2 linked regions of the Xenopus tropicalis genome follow. The protein of the gene in region 1 purifies or fractionates together with the protein of each later gene. This does not show direct contact. Links are inferred from orthologs where the notes say so. Each region holds a gene or a part of one and is shown in the gene's direction. Other genes may lie near its edges. The genes, in order: pidd1 and casp2.

The links.
Region 2: the proteins of pidd1 (region 1) and casp2 purify together in Homo sapiens (affinity purification with western blotting; 5 studies listed by BioGRID and IntAct, with this or other methods). This does not show direct contact. The link is inferred for Xenopus tropicalis from reciprocal best matches to the Homo sapiens genes PIDD1 and CASP2.

The regions. Positions count from the first base shown.
Region 1 is NC_030680.2:31,397,176-31,401,007, forward strand, and holds part of pidd1 (p53-induced death domain-containing protein 1), read left to right. Parts: intron 1-268; coding exon 269-445; intron 446-1,814; coding exon 1,815-1,962; intron 1,963-2,464; coding exon 2,465-2,600; intron 2,601-2,713; coding exon 2,714-2,864; intron 2,865-3,832. UniProt on the Homo sapiens protein: Component of the DNA damage/stress response pathway that functions downstream of p53/TP53 and can either promote cell survival or apoptosis.
Region 2 is NC_030683.2:7,306,386-7,310,788, reverse strand, and holds the start of casp2 (caspase-2), read left to right. Parts: upstream 1-1,580; 5' UTR 1,581-2,185; intron 2,186-4,403. UniProt on the Homo sapiens protein: Is a regulator of the cascade of caspases responsible for apoptosis execution. Might function by either activating some proteins required for cell death or inactivating proteins necessary for cell survival.

The DNA.
Region 1 (3,832 bases):
ACGCAATTGCAGAAGAGAAGTCAATTGACTCGAGTACCTGTAAAAAATGGGGAACTTGTCACTTGTATTTACAAATAACTTTAAAACCATTAAGTGATTTTAATAAATCTCTATTGAAAGTTGCTTAGAAATATATTTTCTTTCACTATACAGAAAATATTTTATGGGTGTGGACCTTAAACATACTGTGGAGATGTTTAATTTAGAGAAATGGTGTAGTTACACTGCATATCATTTCATTTTCTGTTTTTCCATTTCCTTCGCTCAGAATCTGGCCATCTGCAAAGTCCCTCACTTCTCATGGTTCTTTGTGGTGTCACGTTTAGTGAAAGATCAATGTCAAGTGCCAAAAGATGGAGAGGTCTTGTTTTCTAGTGTAGACCAGAACATTCGCATTGAATTTCCTCCTGGTGCCACTGAAGAGACTCGGACTATCAGTATGCAGGTGAGATCTCGCTAATGATACTGTCCTTCAGTCTGTTTAATATCAGGAGCAAGAATCTTTGCACACATTCATGTTGCTGAATGAAGAACGATTACCCCCCTGGTGACCACAAATCAGAAATAAATTGGAACTTTGTGGTGACTGGTTCTGGAGGTAAAACATTTAATGGAAGGAACAGGCAACTGTGACTGTAGAAAATGATTTTGACTTTCCCTATTTGGAGAGCTGTGGATATATATTAATCCAGCACATATATAATTGTTACTGCCTACCTCAGATCATGTCACATAGTGGATTCCAATTAATCCATACAGTAATACGTGCTATTACTGGTCTTCCTTTTATGGGTAGATTTTACCCATTGCAGTATCAACCATTCATTCAATGGAATGTCCTCTATTCTGTTGCCCCTTAGTGCTCAAAGCACTTGTGCCCCCTGCATGCTAAATAATCTGGTTCTCAGTGATGAGTGCAGCATCAGGATGCACAGCTAGCCCTGTAAGGACAGGGTCCCGATGTGGACTGCTCATCCTGCTGCTCCTACATTGCACCTCAGAATGACTGCAACCCCCTGACCACCCGTTATAAATCAAGTGCGGCCTGTGTTTGATTCAAAGTGCAGTCCACTAAACAGGGGGCTGAGGCCTTTGGCTGTTTTCACAAAGCCCCATGCAGTGGGCAGAGTGCAAAAAAATGAGCCCAAACCCTATAGACTTACTTACAGTGGTAGCATAGTTAAGAAGTACTGCCTTAACTAAAACTGAACTACACTATCAAAGTCTTTATTCAATCATGTGTTTCTATTGCATATATAGAGTAAAAGAAACAATTAAGTTAATTTATATTTCAGTGTCCCCTTTAGCCAAACTCTTTACATTTTTCAATAGATTTTCTCTCCTACTTTTACTATTGATGTACCTGAATAATTTTTGCCATTTGTTTTATATAATTGCTGGATTATATTTAACATACTGATTATACAATCCCTATATAATTTTTATTAGTCACTTAATAATTGATTAATATTTCACTTCTTGTATAAAGACAATAGATTTCTCTGCTATAAATACAGCCAGCAAGTTTTCACAAGTTGTCTTGCCATGTCCTGACACCATTTTTTGGGTGTCAGGTCCTGCCTCTAGATGGTGCTAGAGTGCTAGCAAAACACAATAGAAAACAACATAGGCCATGCACTACCTGGTGGCAAATTTTAGTTTCTTTTTCTGTTTTGCTCCGGGACAACCAGTTAGAGACATAACGTGACAACATGGTAAAGGATTTAGGCTGCATCTGTATGTTCCCTCAGATATATAAAAATGGACATTAATACTACATGCTTTTAATATGGTTATGTTCTTTTTCATATCAGGTATTACCAGTAAGCACTGCAGATTTTCAAAGTATCACTGGAGATTCCCAGTCTGCAACCAGCCCTCTGTTGTGTCTGTCACAGAGCTCATCTGCTAATTTTCTGTGTCCTGTCAAAATCCAACTGCCACTTCCACCTGGGGTCACAGGTCAGATATGTGAATACATGGTTGTTATTATACCATAGTTATCCCATAATAGTTATTTTTAAAAACCAAAAATAATTTTTTGCCTAATTAAAAAAAACACAATTCTAAGCAACTTTCTATTATGAATTTACTCAAACATTTTAGTGCTTTAAAAGTTGTTTGTAAATGTAATTACTGTAGAAAGCAGCATTTGCTGAACTCCTGGTTGTTACTTTTTATACAATGTTGCAAAGGTCAGTCTCCTTCAGCAACACAGGTCTGTCAGCCTGCTGCCTTGTCTTACGTTATGTCAGAGCTACCAGGACAGAGAATAGAAAAGGACAGGCAGACACTGCTTTTAATAGCAATAATACTGTATATACAAATAACTAATAAAACCATTACAAATTTGTAATGAATGTATATTGCAAAGTTTCTCAGAATTTTGTTTTCTTTTATTAGGCAAAAATGTATGAAGTTCTGCTATTAGATAATGCGATAGGTTTTCTTTACTCCTTTCCAGGCGATACTCTTGATCGCTCCAGACTCGTCCTTTTACATGGAGACCCGCAGGCCCAGAACTGGACAGATATCACAGGGCAGGTGGAATTTGAAATTACCCACATTTATGCCCGGTTCCAAGTGGATCATTTCTCCTGGTAAGTCTCCCACATAGGATATGTTCAATCAGTTCTACAAATCTGCCCAACTAGTAAACATGTTGATATTTCCTGTCTCACCCTGTTCTTATTTAATCTTTCTCTGATTTAAGGTACTGGCTATGGTACACTACCAAAACTTACATTGGGGAAATTGCCAAAAATGTCTACACTCGCCTACGCATGTCTCAGGTGAATTTTGTGGCCTTGCAAAGAAAAAGGGACCCAGAACAGGTGCTGCTGCAGTGTGTTCCTAAACAAAAGGTGTGTACCCAGGATTATGTGGCTAATACAGCACTAACACTAAGGGGTATATTTATCATGCTGTGTAAAGAGTGGAGTGAAGCAGTGATGTTGCCCAGGGCAACCAATCAGCAAATAGATTTCAACAGTTAGAAAACCAAAGCAAAGCATCTGATTGGCTGCTATGAGCAACATCACTGGTAATGTTTTACTCCACTTTTTTCTTTTTTAAAGGTAAATTTTTATTGGTTTTACAACATCACAAAACAAAAATACAAAACGGTGTATAATATATTGACATTGAGATTGAAATGGTGTTGAGTCAGGTTTAGGCCAATACAGTCAAAGGTACTATTACTAGGCGTTGTAGTTGTCACAGTGTAGGTGAGTGTGTTTAGTTCTCTCGGATCAGTCACACTTAGGGGCACATTTACTAATCCACGAATCCGAATCACGCATGGGAAAAAATCGTATTGGAAATGAAAATTTCGGAAGATCGCAAATATCACGAAAATGCTTACGAAAAAATCGTATTAGTCACGATAATATCGTATTGGCGATCCGAAAGTCACGAAATTTCCGTACCGAACAATTGTAAACAGCGGTAAAACCTTTCCGCACGAGCGTTCGTGCTTTTGTAAATGTGCCCCTTAGTGTAAAGGGGTAGGTTATGTGTCCAGATTGTCTTGATTATACCAGTTTTCCCAGATCTTGTCAAACTTGTCATAAGCACCCCTTGTTTCATAGGTTAATTTGATAAGGGGGAGAGCTTCATCCACCAGCCTTCTCCAGAATGTTTGGGAGGGGAGGGTGTCTCCCATCCAGTGCATAATTACTGTTTTTTTGGCGTAGAACATGAGCGTACGCAGTTTGACTCTGGCCACGTTAGTGCATATTATTCCATCTATGACTCCTAATAGGCAAGTTATTGGGTCTACTATCTGCGGTGTACCCAGTTCACTTGCTAGTGTTTCCATTATTTTGGACCA
Region 2 (4,403 bases), on another chromosome or scaffold:
CTTGGCATCGAATACCGTAGCAGCTGGGCCAATACACCAGCCAGTCAGGCCCGGATTTGTGGAGAGGCCACAAAGGCCCGGGCCTAGGGTGTCATGAAAATGACCTAACAAGCGTATGCTCGACCACTGGAGAGAAACCGTGTAGCATTCCAGCACTTTATTTTTGTAAAGTCCAATGACATCACACAGCGACAAATCGTAAAATAGCAAAAAGGCAGTTCCAAAGTCCCACAGAAGTAAATCCACAGTCTGAAGAAAATAATGGCCGAAGAATCACTGAAGAAGTTGATCCGAAGTGCAGGAATCCTTTCCTCTCTCTCTCTCTCTGAAGACTGACTTCCAAGATCTCTTTGGGGCTCTTTTTATGTCCCTGTGGGCCCATTCTCCCAGCAAGCCCCTATTGTTTCTATGCAGGGGTGGGGAGACGTATAGGTGCCAGGGTAACTGGATTATCTGCCTACTGTTACCAATCAGGCCGGGGCAGACATGTTGGAGCCTTTGGGTATCAGTCCCTAATCTCATCAGAGAGAAATTAAATCAATTCCGCCATTGTTTAAAATAAACCCGTCACATAGGGCGGCACAAATTTGGGGGCGGCAATCTTGAGCTTTTTCATCCATATGGAGCAGTGGGAACCTCTCCCCCACTGCTCCATATGCGAATGTTTACACCCTGCATGCACGTTGGGGAGGGGGCGGTGCCGATCGCATGTTCGCACATGCGCATGGGGGGGGGTGTGTGCCGATCGTGCGCATGCTCGGAGGGAGGCGGCAGGATTACAAATCCGGCCCTGCAGCCAGTACTCTATACCGAACTGGCAGTATGGCCATAATAGGGGTTTGTGTAGATCCTCGAGAGGGGACTGCATCAACAGGCCTATGAGCCGCTGACCTACTGGAACTTCTCAACTGCCCATTCCCCTGTTGGATATGAGTTGGGGAGGCTGTCATTTGGGCCCTATATATGGGCAGTACTGGAATGGCCAAGGCAGCAGCTAATGTGGTGCCAAAAATGGCAGCCTTTATATGTTAGTAGAGTTATCCTTGGGCCAAGTAGGCTTCTTTTTGTAAAATGTTCCTGTATGGGGCCAGATGGATCTTTGGATGTTGCCGGTACAGGTATCGGACCCCTTATCCGGAAACCCATTATCCAGAAAGCTCCGAATTACGGAATGCCCGTCTCCCATAGACTCCATATTAATCAAATAATTCAGAATTTTAAAACTGATTTCCTTTTTTTATGTAGAAATAAAACAGAACCTTGTAATTGATCCCAACTAAGATATAATTAATCCTTATTGGATGCAAAACAATCCTATTGTGTTTAATGAATGTTTTATTGATTTTTTAGTAGACTTAAGGTATTGAGATCCAAATTACAGAAAGACCCCTTATCCGGAACACCCTTGGTCCCGAGCATTCTGGATAATGGGTCCTATACCTGTATTATGTTGTGAGTTAATTCAGGCCAATATGGACCCACAGCTAGTAACATTTATTGTACCTAATCCCTTATGTCAGAATATAAATATATTAACCCTTAAAGAGTTGGCGCTCATGAAACACTGCCAGTGATAAAATCAACCAATTTATTTGTTACACAGTAATGAGAAATTCATACATTAAAAAGTACCAATAAAAAGTATATAGTGTGCACTGGGGGAAAGGAGCTGCGCTGCCTGAGGTGTGAGGGGAAACAAGTGACAGGCTGTGTGACTGCTGAATGGCGGGGGCGGGGCTTCCCTCAGCTCCGGGCTGTAGGGAGGGGGAGGGGCTCCGTGCCCCACTGCCTCACTCTGCTCTACTTCCTGCCTTTCACCGGCCGAGCTCAGGCTGCTAACAACCGGAGGAGCCATGTTTTGTTTCGGATCTCTGTGAGGAATTCCCGCGAAACCCATATAAGAATTTACCAATTAGGAAAAAGCCCGGGAAATCCTGGTGACGTCGCGCTGTTCCGATTGGCCGGGGGGCGCGCATGCGCCTGGCAGCTATTGGGCTGGGGAGAAGGTCGGGGTTCCGTGTGGGTGTCGGTGTTACGGGTGAGGGGAGGGTCACGGTACCGGGGTCCATGCTCTGTTCTTGTAGCGGCCCGAACCCTCCCCCACACGGGCCTGTTGTGTTTCCCTGGTTTCCCCAATGAGCCCCCCAGAAGGCGGAGCCTATACTCTCTGAGGGACCTGCGCCAGGTGAGTGTGACGTCACCGACCCGCCGTGATTCCCAAGCGCTGTAACCATAGTAACCAGGAGTAACGTTCTACTCTTTCTACTAGTGGGGGAGTGTGTACCCCAATATCCCTACCTACCTACCCATACCCTTATATACTACTGAGAGAGTGTGTATGTACCCCAATATCCCTACCTACCCATACCCTTATATACTACTGAGAGAGTGTGTATGTACCCCAATATCCCTACCTACCTACCTACCCATACCCTTATATACTACTGAGAGAGTGTGTATGTACCCCAATATCCCTACCTACCTACCCATACCCTTATATACTACTGAGAGAGTGTGTATGTACCCCAATATCCCTACCTACCTACCCATACCCTTATATACTACTGAGAGAGTGTGTATGTACCCCAATATCCCTACCTACCTACCCATACCCTTATATACTACTGAGAGAGTGTGTGTGTACCCCAATATCCCTACCTACCTACCCATACCCTTATATGCTACTGAGAGAGTGTGTATGTACCCCAATATCCCTACCTACCTACCCATACCCTTATATACTACTGAGAGAGTGTGTATGTACCCCAATATCCCTACCTACCCACCCATACCCTTATATGCTACTGAGAGAGTGTGTATGTACCCCAATATCCCTATCTACCTACCTACCCATACCCTTATATACTACTGAGAGAGTGTGTATGTACCCCAATATCCCTACCTACCTACCCATACCCTTATATGCTACTGAGAGAGTGTGTATGTACCCCAATATCCCTACCTACCTACCCATACCCTTATATGCTACTGAGAGAGTGTGTATGTACCCCAATATCCCTACCTACCTACCCATACCCTTATATGCTACTGAGAGAGTGTGTATGTACCCCAATATCCCTACCTACCTACCCATACCCTTATATACTACTGAGAGAGTGTGTATGTACCTCAATATCCCTACCTACCCATACCCTTATATACTACTGAGAGAGTGTGTATGTACCCCAATATCCCTACCTACCTACCCATACCCTTATATGCTACTGAGAGAGTGTGTATGTACCCCAATATCCCTACCTACCTACCCATACCCTTATATGCTACTGAGAGAGTGTGTATGTACCCCAATATCCCTACCTACCTACCCATACCCTTATATACTACTGAGAGAGTGTGTATGTACCCCAATATCCCTACCTACCCACCCATACCCTTATATACTACTGAGAGAGTGTGTATGTACCCCAATATCCCTACCTACCCATACCCTTATATACTACTGAGAGAGTGTGTATGTACCCCAATATCCCTACCTACCTACCCATACCCTTATATACTAATGAGAGTGTGTATGTACCCCAATATCCCTACCTACCTACCCATACCCTTATATACTACTGAGAGAGTGTGTATGTACCCCAATATCCCTACCTACCCATACCCTTATATACTACTGAGAGAGTGTGTATGTACCCCAATATCCCTACCTACCCATACCCTTATATGCTACTGAGAGAGTGTGTGTACCCCAATATCCCTACCTACCTACCCATACCCTTATATACTACTGAGAGAGTGTGTATGTACCCCAATATCCCTACCTACCTACCCATACCCTTATATGCTACTGAGAGAGTGTGTATGTACCCCAATATCCCTACCTACCTACCCATACCCTTATATACTACTGAGAGAGTGTGTATGTACCCCAATATCCCTACCTACCTACCCATACCCTTATATACTACTGAGAGAGTGTGTATGTACCCCAATATCCCTACCTACCCATACCCTTATATACTACTGAGAGAGTGTGTGTGTACCCCAATATCCCTACCTACCTACCCATACCCTTATATACTACTGAGAGAGTGTGTATGTACCCCGATATCCCTACCTACCTACCCATACCCTTATATACTACTGAGAGAGTGTGTATGTACCCCAATATCCCTACCTACCTACCCATACTCTTATATGCTACTGAGAGAGTGTGTATGTACCCCAATATCCCTACCTACCTATCCATACCCTTATATACTACTGAGAGAGTGTGTATGTACCCCAATATCCCTACCTACCTACCTATACCCTTATATGTACCCCTAGCTACCCTACACTTCAGGGGAATTGTACATTTCCTATGGGCATAAATAGGTACAAATACACAGTACAGCTGCCCCGTAGAGCTTACGCTCCATCGTGTTACAGGTAATGGTGCC